Neodiprion lecontei: one gene and its partners. The main gene of each other region encodes a partner of the protein of the gene in region 2 in a complex. Links are inferred from orthologs where the notes say so. Each region holds a gene or a part of one and is shown on either strand. Other genes may lie near its edges. The genes, in order: run domain Beclin-1-interacting and cysteine-rich domain-containing protein, ras-related protein Rab-7a and PDZ domain-containing protein 8.

Region 1 (5,055 bases), on a different chromosome or scaffold from region 2:
GCTATTCTTTTTAAAAACTTTTCCGTCTACGTTTGATGTTGTACCCTTAGACTGGACTTCAGTATAATCAACTTTGATTACATTTGATAATTTATACGAGTCAGTGCTACAACTGTATGATGTTCTGTTTGTACCAATAAAAAACTTGGCTGGACTCGTGGGCTGAGGTATAGTTAAATTGTGAAGGTTTTCATGATTTTCGTTTAATGTAGGAAGACTACTCCACACTTTCAGAGAGAAGTCAATATCAGTTTTTGTTATCACTGGCTCAGAATTTATTTTACATTTCCTCTCCTTCATAATACTGCTTGGATTCTCTGAAATCTTTCTATCATTCAAATTTGATTGCGCCGTACTCCCAGCTATACCTGTATGATACTTTTCATAGCTATTTGTATTCTCTATATTTACAATACCCCACTTTTTATAAGATAGATTTGTGGGATAAGATGATGATCTGCGATGCCTATTCGGACTATTTTTACCCAAATCCCAATTTGGAAGAAACTGTAATTATATATAGCAAAATTTCATCATATAAATATTAACAAGCATGAGACGAAGTTAATAATATACCTAGCATACTACAAGAAATAAGGAATGGTCTTGAAGGTATCAAATATTTTATAGTTTGGCAGTAATAGTAAGGCTCAGGTAGATAGACTTACCAAGCATGGATCAATTTCCGTTAAAAGAGAGGGCTGATTCTTTTCGACAGCTCTTAGACAGATAAGAGTAGCTTCTGCAAGACTTTCCTGGCACAAGAAAGCCCAAGGTTCAAGGCAGGACAACAAGTGCTCCTTGTCCGATAAAAGCCAAGAAAGCTTCTGAGAGAGGGAATGACTTTCCAAACTAGAAAAAGACATCAGAAGCTTCTGAATTCTATCAAATGATGATTCTATTGAGCAGATATCAATATCAAATTAATCAGTAAAGTTCACATGTCTAAGCTGTGAACATTATATCACATACCTGGTGCTAGATTAGATAGTAATCATTGTACCATTGCATAATAATAAGATAAATATACCATGAAATATGTATATACCAAGATTGCATGTGCCAATATTGTTTCAGAGGTTACATGGGTTTGGAAATTTCAAAAAATCCATTTTTAACATTTTTTTCACCTAATAGTACAACATGTCAAAAATATTTTCCCAAAGTTTCAAGTCAATTGAAGTAAACGGCTAGGGGAGAGAGCCTTCGGAAATTCCTCTCATTAGGCTAGACCGGCCAAGAGCATCGCAGGTATATCGTTCTTTCTTCAAAACAAAACTTTTGAAGTCAGTGGCCGTGATCTCTCAAAAACAAATGCACCGATCTTATAGAAATTTTGCACACTTCTTCTAGATAGGACTGACTAGTGAACGCATGAAGAATTTTTTTTTCTTCAGTCATAACTTATTTTACAAAGCAATATGTTATGTAAAGTCTACCGAAAAGCGTACTTTTTTGCAAAAAGCTTAGCCAAAAATTCAAATTTCAATTAGAAAAAATCCTTTTATCATTCACTAGCTATACTCACCTATTAACAGAAAATATTTGGTGTTTAGATTTCAAATAAAGCTAGCATGGGTTATCGTGACCACCGCAAGATCACTGGGTCTCCAAAATTCAGTTCTGAACAGCTAAATTTTTGAATGCAAATTTTATGAAATATCGTTTAAATATTGTTCTTTCATATGCCTTAAGCTTGAATCAAATAGTCTTTCACTTATATTTTTTTTTGAATACGAGCAAATATCCTTTTCTTCTACCTTTGAAACCCATGCAACCCCTTAAATATCCAAATATGAGAGTCTTCTCTGTACTGAAGAATACGTTCTCAGACGGCCATTCTCTGAGAATTTTCAATAATGTTTAATTCCAAAACAAAAGCTTGTTATAACATGGTAGCCACTAAAAATAGTATATCAAATTCCCTGACCAAAATATATTTTTTCCCTTGATCGAAATTAGAACCAATAGTGCCAATTATTCATGTATCTAATAAATACAGCTCCGAATCAATCGGTATTCAAAATACCCTTGTGATCTATTTAATGGTTACAAAACCGAGCAATACAAACAATTCTTAGAATTTTGCTTTTTTGTGAAGGAAATTTATTCCTTGTCTTTTCATACGGCCACAAAATGGTCAGACTGATTTAAAAATTCACTGACTTCCCAGTTTACCCTGACTAATGGCCACCATGTGTTGTACAACTATTCATTGTATATACTCAAATATTGAAATTTACTGATATATTCTTAGTCACTACATACATGGAGGGACTGGCCAATTTATACTTATTGTTACATAAATAAAATGAATGCAGGAATTATTTTTAATAAACAACTGAAAGTACCTCTTATACAGCCACAACAGATCTTTTCGTGATCCTATCTTTACCGGTATATTTGAAAGATAATCGTCAGACTCATGGACAGATGGGGATGTAGCCAAAGAGGGTTGTAGCCAATTTAACCCTTGTATGAAAATCCAACAATCCGGTTCACCCTTGCAAGGATAGAGTAATAGAAGTAAATTACTTTTTTTATTGAAAGTTTAACTCCATACTTCAACCATTTTACGCAGCGTAATGTACGTTGCAATTTGTGTTTGAGAAGCATGTGACTCTCACCATTGAATCGAAGACTCGACTCCCATGCCTGAATATTCTTTCCATGCATTTATGGAGTCGATTCAAACCTCCGTACACATTCCAGACATTAGAGACTTGACTAACTAACAGTCCTTCGACAGTAGATCGAAGGTACTGTAGAAGCTGCTGGTGTTCCCTGATGTGTGGATCTTGCATAGATGTCATCATGATTCTCCATGTAACAAGGCAAATGAGGAATATAGCGATTATATTATCATTTTGCAAACATTATCGGACTCAAGGAGAGGCCATGATTCATGTTATCGGTTTCAAATAATATCGTAATTATACAGTGAATCATAAATCACAGTGCACACTGCACAATTCTGATCTGACAGCCGGAAGCGGGAGGCACGGATCGTACGTATCACAATCGTTAAAAAGTCACGCCCCCTCGACTTCGATCGAATAACATCCTTATTTATTTGCAAAAAAAAAAATCCTTGTTACGTGGTAATTACCTCTCACTCTATCCAAAGACCTCTGAGTAGCTAGTTTCCGGTTCTGTTCAATGGTTTTCGTATAATAATATGATTCTGCAAAACTCTCATATTTTGTAAACACTCCTCTCACGAGGCCAATGTCTATACATTGGAACGTAACGCAGTTCAAATTTCAACGGTCGGTAAGGCAGAGTTTGGTCAACGTGTAACTTTGGAACCATGTGACCGACTGCTTCGAAACTCCTGGTAACTAAAGTTATGTAGTAGATATACACTTTGCTCGTCTGGCTTGGACAGCTTGGCGCTAGCTTCACATCGCGAAGTACAATGCTTCAACAATGTTCAACCTATAGATAGACGGGATAGACGAACTGTATCACGGTAGGTATACAATACTGTATACAGGGCATTATATTTAAAACATTTTCAAATTGTAATACTCTGTATTTTTGTACTGAATAGTTTATTTGTTTCTTAATTTATATTTATTGTTCTTTAGTTTCCAGAAAATCTAATGTGTTTAGAAATGTTTCACTTAGCTATTTACTTCACTAAATAGCATATTCACTTAATGATACTTCCATCTTTTGCAAGCTTATCAATGTCTATCGCCCCCAAAGTGCAAAGACAAACTAGTGCAGCTCCTTGCTCAGCCCATTTCTTGTTTTTTTCCCTGAAAAATGAAATAATGTTTTTTACTGTTTGAAGACAAAACGGGTAGCATTAATTCTACACCCAATTTGGATTCTTACCAAAATGAAGAACTGTATTTTTTTCCATTCACTGATACTACTGAGCGAAATAATTTATCTTCTTGCTCGGTATGATAGACTGGGAAATTAGTCCTGTTTTCCTTGGTCCATTTCAAAAGCCTCGTCTTCGGTAGCTCTAGATCATGAGTGTAGCTATTACGTATAAAAGCACACTGCATCACAACCACATCATCCTCTTCAAATTTTCTCTTCACTCCTTTTTGTCGATCCAAAGAGGTGGGGATCACTTGAAACCTACCCTGAATGCCTCTGTCTAAGTACTCTTTCCGTTTAGTCCTGCAATAATCTCCCATATCCCAGATAGAACTGAAAAAAAGTTGAATCATTATTTGCTTCTTCTAGGAAATCTTCACATCATTGAACCCACGATAATTAATGCTTGGTATAAATTTTACCAAATCTGCTGAAGCGTTTGAGCTTCTAGAAACGCTTTTCCTTTTGGAGTTTCCTGTAACTCTCGGAGAATATTTTGTATACAGTACTTTGTATTTGATGGGGCATTGTCGTAGTCAATAGCATATTTTAAATAAGACTGTATTACATCTTCAATGGGGAGTATACCCTCTTTTCGAAATATTGAACAATTCCATTCAGCAGCTCTAGCGAGCATCACACTACTGCAGCCTGTTTCTTCTTTGAATTTCAATATGTCTGAATGTTTTTCGATTTCCTTTGACCCCCCATTTGCAATAACTGGAATCGGCAATTGTTTAGCAACTTCTCTGATTATATGACAGTGATTTACATGTTGTGGTCTTTCATCTTTGGTCCTTCCATGAATCGCGATCGCGGATATACCCGTTGAAACTAGTTCCTTGCACAATGCATAAGTTCTGTCTACCGTTGGAAATATCCTGATCTTACACGTGACAGGAATCATTAATCCATTAACTAGTCTGTTCAGAATTTCCTTGGCCATTTCTGGTTGCTCAAGAAGCGCTGCTCCCATGCCGCCAAGAATTGAAAATTTTTTGGGACATCCCATGTTGACGTCGATACCAGCTACATCGTTCTGCACCATTTTTCCGACTTTCAAGGCTCTCTCTGCATCACAGGTGCCAAGCTGAAGAACAACGAACTTTTTCTCTCGATTGCAAGTTCGGAATATTACGGTACCGTCCGTTTTATCAATAAAATCAACGGTCCCCAAGACGTCTGAAAATCATAAACGAAAAATTGTTTATTCACATT
Region 2 (5,126 bases):
ATATAATGCGTTGAGGCTCGATTCATTAATCAAAATTCTAACAACTATATATCCTTGATTAACGAAGTGTTTTATTCGTCTTTCTTATTTCTATTTTAGTTAAATCAACACTAAACATACCTATATGGAATAAATGTGTAACATGTAGGATTTGTGATAAATGAAAACTAAAAAGCTAAAAATTACAAGTTACAAAATTACATTTATAAGGAGTAAATTGTGAGTTAAAAGTCACAAAATTGTATGTCATATTGATAATACTGATCCAAATCATTAAAAAGAAAAATCTTTTAAGTAAGAAAATAACATTTTTTGTTTGCGTTTCGTTTCAAAATATAATAATTGCAACGTGAACGAATTGTTCGCGGGCAAAAAAATTTATAATTATTATTCGGTACACGTTTAATTTGTGATGTTACCCATTCGTATTATTAGACGTAATTATTCTCACTGTACATATATATGTATCTGTATCTATCAAACTATATACGGTAGAAGATAAACTCGATTTATTTTATGTACGTGTTTTCTACGAGATGTACAAGTTTTTGAACACAATTAAAATGAAACATGCTTCAAAATAATTGTCTCACTTATGTGCCATTTTAATACAGTTAAAATATTTCCCGAAATCTTGCGAATATCAAATCCAAATGATTCCAGTTCCACTTTTTCCTTATCAAATATCCCGTCAAGGCTCAAATTCAATTCGTAGACGATTCCTTTCAGGTTAAAAACTAAAGATATAGTAGTAATGACATATTTCCGGTTTAGCGATTTATGTACTTGATTCCGTGTGCTGAAATAAGAATATTCCCCCAAAAATCACATTGAGTGTTCAAAAAGATTCCAATCACATACCGTTACCAAGTACGTCATGTTTGTTGATTCATAATAAAACCATGATTGAAACTTAGTCTAGACATTTCTCTGGAAAAACACTGCTGCCACACTTGGGTCAGACTGACTCTAAATTTATCCAATTACAAATGATAATTGGGTATGAATAAAAAACAAAATAACTCATACATTGATAAAATCCAGAAAAAAAATTGAATTAGTAAAAAAAGAAAAAAGTGAAAGATGGCGGGCCTCTTTCAATGCATGATGCATACATGAAACGATGACGATAGAATTTGAATTTATTCTTCAGGGTATGTTTCTAAAATTTACTCAAATATATATAATATGTGTTTATATATTCAAGACCCATATTAGTGAGATGTGCGCAATATATCTGCAATATATTAATTTAATAAATGTGAAAAATGAGAAAAAATTTTTAAAAGACAACGTGGTTATTCGTTCTGTCTGACTTTAGTCATTTGTTTGTTTTGTAAATTCGTTTCAAGACCATGCTGTTAGCAGCGCGCGACATGATTTCCTAGTAAGATGTTATGAACTCATTTTAAGGAAACTCATAGTTAGCTGAGTAAAGCATCAAAAGCGACATCTGGCATGACTGTTAGGAAACTAAAATTCATACCAATGTCAGGTAAGTATGTTCAATTACCATTGCCTGCAGGCATCACATTCACCCACAGCCATTCGCGTAGCATCTACAGAGATATTATAAATAAAGTAGGCAAGTGAACCATGCAATTGTCCAATCGAGAAAAAGAGAAAGAAAATTCAGCGACTTATCTATCATTTTCTACCAAGCATGCGCAGTGTGTTACTGCGCAGAGATAAAGGATAGCTATGATTCTGACGCATGCATAAATGCGTATGCAAACAAGGATAGAGGGATCACTCGATTTTCTTTTTCTTTCCATCCGATCTTTCGGCTTATGCTTATCCCTATACCTTGCCTAGTAAATCGTATATAATATCTCTATACGCTTATCGCGTGTCTGCATGAAATTCTCGTCATACTTTGTCTTGATCGACTGGAGATAACAAAGATATCTTCTCGCGCCGATGAGTTACCGCTATCCCCGCCACTCGCCTGGTTAAACAGAGACGGAGTCTCCGACAGAACAGGGTTGTCTTTATATTGACGGTCTCATCGCCGTCCAAGGAACGCGCAAAGTCTATGGACGGAGTGATCGAGGCATAGAGATCGTGGTTCGATTAATCGCAAGCTATCGAAACAGATAACGAGCGCCGTTGTCATTCTCTCATAGTCCAGTCCGCTCGTGATTCACAGTACGCCATTTTCTTAGTTTGTGAAGTGTCGAAGCAGACGGAATATCGCTGTTTTTAATTCAAGTAAAAGGTAACCGTCCCTCAGGCAATGACACTCGACCACGTTTAACCCATCCAGCATCTAACTCCCCGTCATCAACCCGAAATAAGCAACAATTCGTCGCATTTACTGCGTACAATTGACGTCGCGACGTCCTACTACGCATTGACAGGTCTATCACCACTATTATTGGTTGGATAGCATCAGCTTTGATTGCTATTACGCCTCAACTTTCACGGCTTCGATCTAACGTCGCTATTCGTCAGTCTAACCATTTATCCGATACGCGTTTACCTGGCCCCAAATCCCTGCGAGACAACAATACGTCAAAAATCTTATCAAACCTACTATGTACCTGCCTATCTGCATTACTCATACCTACTTGCGTGTCTCACGAAATACATATCACAAAGCGTTTCTCCTCACGCACATACGAATTTCGTATGCGTGCACACTCGATTGAATATTCGTCATTGTGGGGGAGAATCGTTTTGCTACTAAAGGACGTGTTAGCCCTCGTCCCTGAGTACAAGGAGAGAAACAAACAAAGAAGAAACTATCGGAGAAAAAAAATCACTTTGTCATTCTATTTTTTTTTTTCAAAAGTATCAACACACTTTCGATTCTTCTACACGTAGTTTTAACTCGCCCAAGCATAGGTACGTTATTTTTTACTCGTTTAGTTTTACTTATCTCAGGCATTGTAGATTCATTAAAAAAAAATTTAAACTGCTTTCCACCGTTTATTTAATTGAACGTGTTATTCGATTTACTTTCTCCGGATCATCCCAATCGTTGAATCATCGCATTCTTTGGTATCCTTTTACATATGAAACATCTAAAAATGTCCTTTATCCGATGTTGTTTTGTCGGAAGCAGCATTTTTATGTATCTTGCAAGTTTCAGCCTTTCACGGGCTATCCGCATCATTAGAGATTAATGCCAGGCGTGTGAGTTATGGAATAGGAAGTAATACAATATGAGGCATGTTGTTTGTCTGTATTTGAACTATCAAAGTCTGCCTCTTATCAGGTTTCTCATGACACACATACAGACAACTGTGTCGATCATTCAAATGGTATCCATTTTTCATAATATTTACTCCACCTGGCATCGCTGTCCACTCTGAATTCAGCCCGAATCACCTATTTTTCACCCGATTCTTTATTTATTGTCAGTTAATTCAATAACCGATTCTAAAATTTAATGATTTGATTCATTGTTTAACTCATTCTACAGCTGAATCTTTTCTCTTGCTTGCTTTGATTATTATGCGTTGTCCAATTTTAAAATCGAGGTCTATTACAGCGGATCGAGTTGACGAATAATGAATATAATCATGCCTTATTCAACAGCTGACAAGCTGAGGTTAGGGAAGCCCCCATATCACGATAAGTCAGGCAATCGAGTCACGGTTCAAAGATTAAAAAAGAAAACCATCGTATATAAATAATCTAGCACAAATTTCACTCTGAAGTATCATTCTAATCACGGCATCATCCCTTTCAGCTTTTTCTTTCATTTTTGCTATTCGCTGACCTAGAAAGTCGAATAAAAAGAAAAGCAAATGGAGGAAGGAAGCTCGAGGTAGTCAAACATTCTTCGATCTGTAACCTATGATGTAACTGTAAAAAAGAACTCGAGACTTTTTCGAATGAAATTTTCATCACACAGACTAATTATATCCCAATCTAGAGCTCTTTCAAACTGTGACGACTTAGAACAGTGAACATCCACTATTGCCTCGTATATTTATAAACAGACAAAGCAAATACAGTCGATATTACAAACTTCATACCTGAGTCGAACATTTCGTTTGAAATGCTGAATCTTCTTTGCGGAATTACCACCTTTATGAGAAATTGGGTTTTTTTGAACCGGTTAATGTACAATAAATCTCATTTTCTAATTTCACCGAATTAGAAAATCAAATGCATCCTCACGTAACAAGCACAGGTGGTAAAAAAATTATACCTCGGGCATAGCCAGATTAGTTTCCTTCAGAGTCTTCAAATTAAGCATTATTACAAAACAATTTTCTAGTCTGATGTTCTTCGTTGCTCCAGAAAAACTATTTTTTGTAACAGAAAATAACAGTGGGAACAGCGGCGCTCGACAGCTTTCAGGACAATATCGCTAAAGTTTTCTATTCAAGTAACTGCAGTTACGCGTTGAATTAAATCGCAAATATCTAATTTTCCATTAATTTGTTAGCTGTAACAGTTGTTTTTTTAAATTTCAGTTAATCTCACTACTGTAGTAGAGAGAAATGGCGTCGCGCAAGAAAACGCTTCTGAAAGTGATCATCCTCGGTGATTCCGGAGTGGGAAAGACCTCGTTAATGAATCAGTACGTTAATAAAAAGTTCAGTAACCAGTACAAGGCTACGATTGGCGCTGACTTTCTCACCAAGGAAGTTATGGTCGATGGCAGGATAGTCACTATGCAGGTAACCCTTGTCTATATTATTTACTTTATTAAATTTACGAAGAAGAAAGATCGAGGAAAGAATATTTGGATACACAGGGACAAGCAAAATGAAAAAGAGAAAATATACAGACCCGTTTGTTACTAGGAAAATTCGTATCTGATAATATTTTTCTCTGAACAAAAAAGGGAATACATTGCCCACTCAATCTTTCATTTCGTCGATTGATTTTTTCCATCAGTTAGATTTAATTAACAAGGAGAATATTTCGTTATAGAGGTTTTCTGTGAAAACTGGAGTCATTAAAAGTACAAAACAGGTATTTTCCTTCAAAATTTTGAAACACTTGTCTGTATTGTCGGAAGCTTCGACAATTAGCAATAATATTAAGGCAGAAAAACCCTAATCAACATGAAAAATATGAGCTCTGAATAGCGCGTATGAGATTGAAAATACTTCGTTTCAATCATTTATGAGTAATGAAACAGAAGACAAGATAAAATCTAAATT
Region 3 (5,176 bases), on a different chromosome or scaffold from region 2:
TTTTGAGAGCTACAAAAGAAATTAGCTTTATTAAACGTTTTTCTAAAGTTTCTGATGATGTAAAAACTTTCAGAACACTTTATTATTCATCATTTCTGTATCCAATTTTAACGTACTGTTCGATTATTTGGACACCTCATACTATATGTATCCAAACATTTACAAACTTGAAAAATTATATTACTTATTTTTGCGTTTTGTAGCTTTTAAGTCCGGCAATCCAATGCATTTTAGTGATTAAGATTACTGAAATATTTCTTCAATTCTTCTAATACCGTCAGTTTGTTCAGAAATGTACAGAATTGATCTAATTTTTGCTTATTGAATTCTTAATAATGTGATTGACCACCCGAGTTGCTATCTAGGTTTCTTTTTTTCACTCCAAGCAGAACTTTACGACACAACAATGACTATTTCTACATAAATTTGAACATCAAATCATACTCTGTAAGTGACCGTCTATCATGATTATGTAACGAGAATAAAAATTGATTTGATCCGTACAACACTAGTTTTTATACTATAAGAAACCTCTCCAGATCTTTATTTAAGTATGAATAACTCTTTTCTAAATTACACTACAACACTGTATTATATCTTTTTCTATGTACAAGGGTGGGATATACATTTTTACATAGTTAATCTCTAATAAATAAATAAATAAATTTCTGACCATAACCACTCGGTGTAAAATAAATACCTAGCCATAAATGGCACAAAAGTGTTTGGTCGGCTTTGAGCATTGTGAAATTTGATTGTTAAACAATTGAATATTCAAAAGCTGCGCTGATATTTACTGCAGAGGATATTCTTGTAATTGGATCAATAACTGAATAGATTTCTAGTAGCAGGAACAATTGAATCGTTTCCCTGGTGTAAATTTCTACTACTACGAATATTTACAGAAATTGGGCTATATTAAACTGTATTATTTCATACAAAATAATAAATATGGGGCATTGACATGACATCTTGATCAAGATTTTACATCGATGTCTCAGATTGGCTTTATAATTTTTTCTCTGAAAGTTCATGACAAATAACGCAATCGCAATTTTTTTCAGAATTTTTTGACCCAGCGTATCTAAAGTATGATTTAAAAATTGAATAAGCCCCCACTTTCTGAAATTTTCAAAAATTTAGAAAAAGTTTATACGATATAACAAAATTTTTGACACCTAGTAGAAGATGGAGATTTCATAACTTCAAAAGAAAAATAAGAGAAATGAAAAAAAAATTATTATTACTGGATTGCATTTTTGCCGTAAGAATGAACACAAAAGTTCATTATAATACCTCTCTGAATACATGTTTTTTAGCCCACCATACTATAATGAGCTTTATGTTCATTCTTATGTAAAATATGCAATCCAATAATAATAATTTTATTTTATTTTTTCATTTTTCTTATTTATCTTTCAAAGTTATGAAATGGCCATCTTCTGGTAGGTGTCAAAATTTTTGTGACACATTATAAGATTATTCTGAATTTCTTCAGGTTTTAGAAAGTGGGTTTTTTTTAAAGTGTTTAAATCATACTTCAGATACACTGAGTCGCAAAATTCTGAAAAAAATTGCGATTGCGATTTTTGTCATGAACTTTCATAGAAAAAATTATAAAGCCAATCTGAGACATCGACGTAGAATCTTAATCGAGGTATCATGGGATGCTCCATATACGTAGTTTTTCATCAAGAATGGTTAATTTTTTTGAAAACTGTAGTGGCTTGAAGATTTCTCACTGAAAAAATGCTAATTTTCACGAAAATATACAAGTTTTAATAAGAAACTAGCCATATTTACAATTTTTTATGAAAACAATGTTTCGTAGAAAATTGTACGAAGTGTCTCAATTTCTATACCCTAATTGAGTGAAATGACCAGTATCTTCTGAGAAAATTCTCCAAATACAGACAGCTTTACAAAAATAATTAAAAACTAGTTTCCAATATTTCTTTTCTCAACAGTAAACTCTCATACAGTGTAATGACGAAATACAAGTCTCTTTTTTCTGACATAGAAAAGTGTGAAAAAATATGTGTTGAAGTCAACTCCTTCTATTGCGCTACTTGTCCTCAATAGCCAAAATTGTTGAATGAAAACAATTGAAGATCAAAGCGAGCATCATGTTCCAGTTAATTATATGACTCACTTGAACGCTGTCGAACAGTTTGCCAGTAGTCGACCTGGTAAGCAGTACTTTGAACTCATTGTTAAGCTTCCTGTAGAGCCAAGAGCGAACCCGTTCTGCGCTTCTGAGCTCGTTGAACAGGAATTGCAGCGTCAAATTGATAGCCAAGTTCTCGTTGCCCTGGGAGACACTTTGCCTAGGAGTAAAGCTGCTGTTGTGAAAGTTTGATTTCTCGTTTTCAACCTCGTTCAGAAGTTCGTCAGGCAAAACTGCACGTCCATGAGGCGCCGGTTTTTCGGGAGGATCGGCAAGCGGCGCCGCTTCCAAGTATTTTATGAATATGTACCATTGTAGAGCCAACGTCGATATTACGCCGCATATAAATGACAATATTAAGAGTGTTACAATGCTCCAGAAGTCCATTGTTTTATAATAAATTGATTGAATTTAATTTATCAAACATAATCGACGTAGAAAGAGAAGTAATTTCTTCTTTTTCTAAGCGGAGATGCGTAGGTACGCAATATTTATAGTGATGCGATCATACTTTGGTGTATTTTCACCTTCAATTAATGAACATTATTTCATTTGGTTGGTAGGAGGTGTTGGAACAAACTTAAGAATTGATTTACCCCAACCTGATTCATAATTGATATTTCATTACTTCAACAACTAGTGTGTGGTGGTGTAAAGCTAATAAATAGTGTCAGACTTTCACTCTGAATCACGCATTTCTAATTTAACTACATGTAATTGTCTACTAGGTTCAATGGTGTGAACATTTTTTATGTGGAACAATTAGTTTTATCAAGTGACAAAAAACAGTCGCCACATGCCGTTTTATGTGAGAATTAAATTTTGACATTTCTGTATCGATTCCAGCGGCTTCCTCCACATTGACACTTCTCTCTCAGCTGACGCGTGACAGCTGAACGAAGCCTTTATGGAATCGTAATACACAACGATGGGGGGGGGGGGGGGGGGGGCTAGACACTACGCGACATGCAACGCTTCTACCCTTACCGGCCGAGCTACTTATTAATTCAATTTTAACTGATTCTTGCAATAGGATTGATAATTTTGATGGTTGATATACAATTTTCACGGTCACGTTTTCACTCGTTCGTTCAATTGCATAACATGATACATTGCTGCCCTATTTTTATGCAATTATTACGACAGGGTCTTGAAGCATTGTGTATTCGACTCGGTGTATACATACCTACATGCTCGAGGGACAGGGTACAGAAAACTACGATTTGCTAATAAAATCATTGTCAATGCATAGTTTATTTTTATGGCGCACATGTTGCATGATCATTTGTATTTTTGGTGGCTACCGATAATCGTATTGAAAAACATCATTTTACTCCTTATCACCTTCAAGAATCCTGAAAAAGTCCCGGAGCTAAGGATATCAATGCCCAAATTACGATAAAAAAATAACTCGGCCGGTATGGAAGAACAGTGCGAAGAAAAATTGCAATAGATAACAGATAACTCTTATTTATAAACAATGAGTATTTGTTGTTAATGAGTTGTGTCATGCACAATTGTGTCGTATGACCATACAGCTTTAGCTGATGGAGACTACACAAGGAGCACGAAGTCCATGTAAACAAGAAGCTGCCTGAAATAAGATGGTACTGGTGATCCGTATGCACCGAAGACAGTACAGGGAGTATAAGGCAGTACAGAATACTTTCTATGAATCACATTGTAAGATCATCGATTAGTCAATCTTGAGTATCCTTGCAACCATGGCACGGAGTAGTAGTCCTACTATTCCGTCATTGACTGAAGAATATGTATAAACACGGATAGCCCTGGGTAAATTTTTGTGACCAATTTTCGGCGGGCAAGTGGGCCCAGGTCGGCCTGGGAGCCTAGGAGGGTTCTGGTCTATCGACTCTATCTAACGGGTTCGCACCGACATTTGTAGCAGCCAAAACAGTGTCGGTATAGAAGCTTGAGATTGAGTCGGTACAAAGTGAGTACGTAAGACTACTTTTCGACTGCGACTTAAAAATGTCGATCAGCTCGATCATCCCCGTGAGAAGACGCCTAACCGCGTCCACAGCCAACCACCGCATCAACCTCCGAGCACCTCCAACCACTGTCAACCACCTCCTACCATCTCCGACTACCTTCTACCACCCCCTACTACCTCCTACCAGCGCCTACCACCTTCTCCCATTTCCGAACACCTCCAACCACCTCCGACCACCTCCGACCACCTTCGTCCTCTTCGTACCCCTGCTCCTCTATGTATTCTATAACATTAATATTCATAATTATTCCTACAACTTTTCATTTGCTCTCTCGATCTTGAATTTTCGTAGGCACAGAAGCGAAACGCTGTTTTAGCTAGTCGCATGTGAAGTATCTACGTTGGGTAGAAAAGCGGAATTGTTTTTCGAAAAGTATTGTCATGGAAAAAAATTCAGAGTAACTGTAATACATCACGAACACGTTAATTTTGATCAAGATGAAATGGATGCTCCGTATATGAGACAGTATTTAACGCAGTGTCCTGATTTAAAGACCTAAAAAGGTGATTGTCGGTGATTTTTTTTTTTTGATAGGGAGGGATAGAACGAAGCTTCTTAAAACTTCGAATGTATTTTAACACACATTCGCAAGGTATGAGCAAAAATTTTTATTATCCAACTGTCGCAGTACGGCAGCGTTATTCGCTGACCCGTTAACTGAAGAATATATCTCTAGTCAACGACTGACCATCGGAGGGCCTAGCCGTTTATGAGTCTGGAATCGGCAGGAAAGATAAGGTACGTATTTCTTGTCTGAAATGTACAAACTAAAATCATTATACATCATACATGATACATAATATTAAAGTTCGCTACCAAAGTTTGGATGTTCGGATCTTCGGATGTTCAGAAAGTGACGTCAGCCAAAATTTTTTTCTTCCGACGTCATCGATCTATATAGACGAAAATCAGGTAGCCGAATTCCTCAGTCTGGAAACAATTGCGCAGTAGAGCGGACGTGTGAGAATTGCGCTCCGCAGATTTTGAGTACCCG

Evidence for each region.
Region 1: the proteins of ras-related protein Rab-7a (region 2) and run domain Beclin-1-interacting and cysteine-rich domain-containing protein are in contact, whole or in part, in a crystal structure (PDB 6WCW), measured with the Homo sapiens proteins. The link is inferred for Neodiprion lecontei from reciprocal best matches to the Homo sapiens genes RAB7A and RUBCN. Residues at the interface, in NP_004628.4 of Homo sapiens: Ile41, Gly42, Ala43, Asp44, Trp62, Gln71, Ser72, Leu73, Gly74, Val75, Ala76, Phe77, Arg79, Ser101, Asp104, Glu105, Ile108, Gln109, Ser111; in NP_055502.1 of Homo sapiens: His818, Asn821, Met822, Lys824, Thr825, Arg827, Leu883, Gln885, Ala886, Lys887, Gly888, Phe889, Ile890, Glu892, Gln895, Glu897, Ile900, Pro903, Cys915, Lys916, Arg931, Arg934, Arg938.
Region 3: the proteins of ras-related protein Rab-7a (region 2) and PDZ domain-containing protein 8 are in contact, whole or in part, in a crystal structure (PDB 7F6J), measured with the Homo sapiens proteins. The link is inferred for Neodiprion lecontei from reciprocal best matches to the Homo sapiens genes RAB7A and PDZD8. Residues at the interface, in NP_004628.4 of Homo sapiens: Lys10, Leu14, Asp16, Ser17, Lys38, Ile41, Gly42, Ala43, Asp44, Phe45, Gln60, Trp62, Gly66, Glu68, Arg69, Phe70, Gln71, Ser72, Leu73, Gly74, Val75, Ala76, Phe77, Tyr78, Arg79, Thr98, Ser101, Trp102, Glu105, Phe106; in NP_776152.1 of Homo sapiens: Ile999, Lys1000, Leu1001, Val1002, Arg1003, Lys1004, Glu1005, Gly1007, Leu1008, Asp1009, Asp1010, Phe1013, Ile1014, Lys1017, Gln1044, Leu1051, Asn1054, Asn1055, Val1058, Leu1077, Leu1084, Gln1085, Thr1088, Ile1092.

What each region holds. Positions count from the first base shown.
Region 1 is NC_060261.1:33,971,852-33,976,906, forward strand, and holds the start of run domain Beclin-1-interacting and cysteine-rich domain-containing protein, read right to left. Parts: upstream 3,038-5,055; 5' UTR 2,817-3,037; coding exon 2,628-2,816; intron 2,504-2,627; coding exon 2,352-2,503; intron 853-2,351; coding exon 669-852; intron 508-668; coding exon 1-507. Other genes in the region: tRNA-dihydrouridine(20) synthase [NAD(P)+]-like, read right to left, coding at 3,656-3,764, 3,844-4,170, 4,260-5,019.
Region 2 is NC_060262.1:7,443,829-7,448,954, forward strand, and holds the start of ras-related protein Rab-7a, read left to right. Parts: upstream 1-2,068; 5' UTR 2,069-2,218; intron 2,219-4,430; 5' UTR 4,431-4,457; coding exon 4,458-4,637; intron 4,638-5,126.
Region 3 is NC_060261.1:25,378,855-25,384,030, forward strand, and holds the start of PDZ domain-containing protein 8, read right to left. Parts: upstream 3,090-5,176; 5' UTR 2,555-3,089; coding exon 2,153-2,554; intron 1-2,152. UniProt on the Homo sapiens protein: Molecular tethering protein that connects endoplasmic reticulum and mitochondria membranes. PDZD8-dependent endoplasmic reticulum-mitochondria membrane tethering is essential for endoplasmic reticulum-mitochondria Ca(2+) transfer.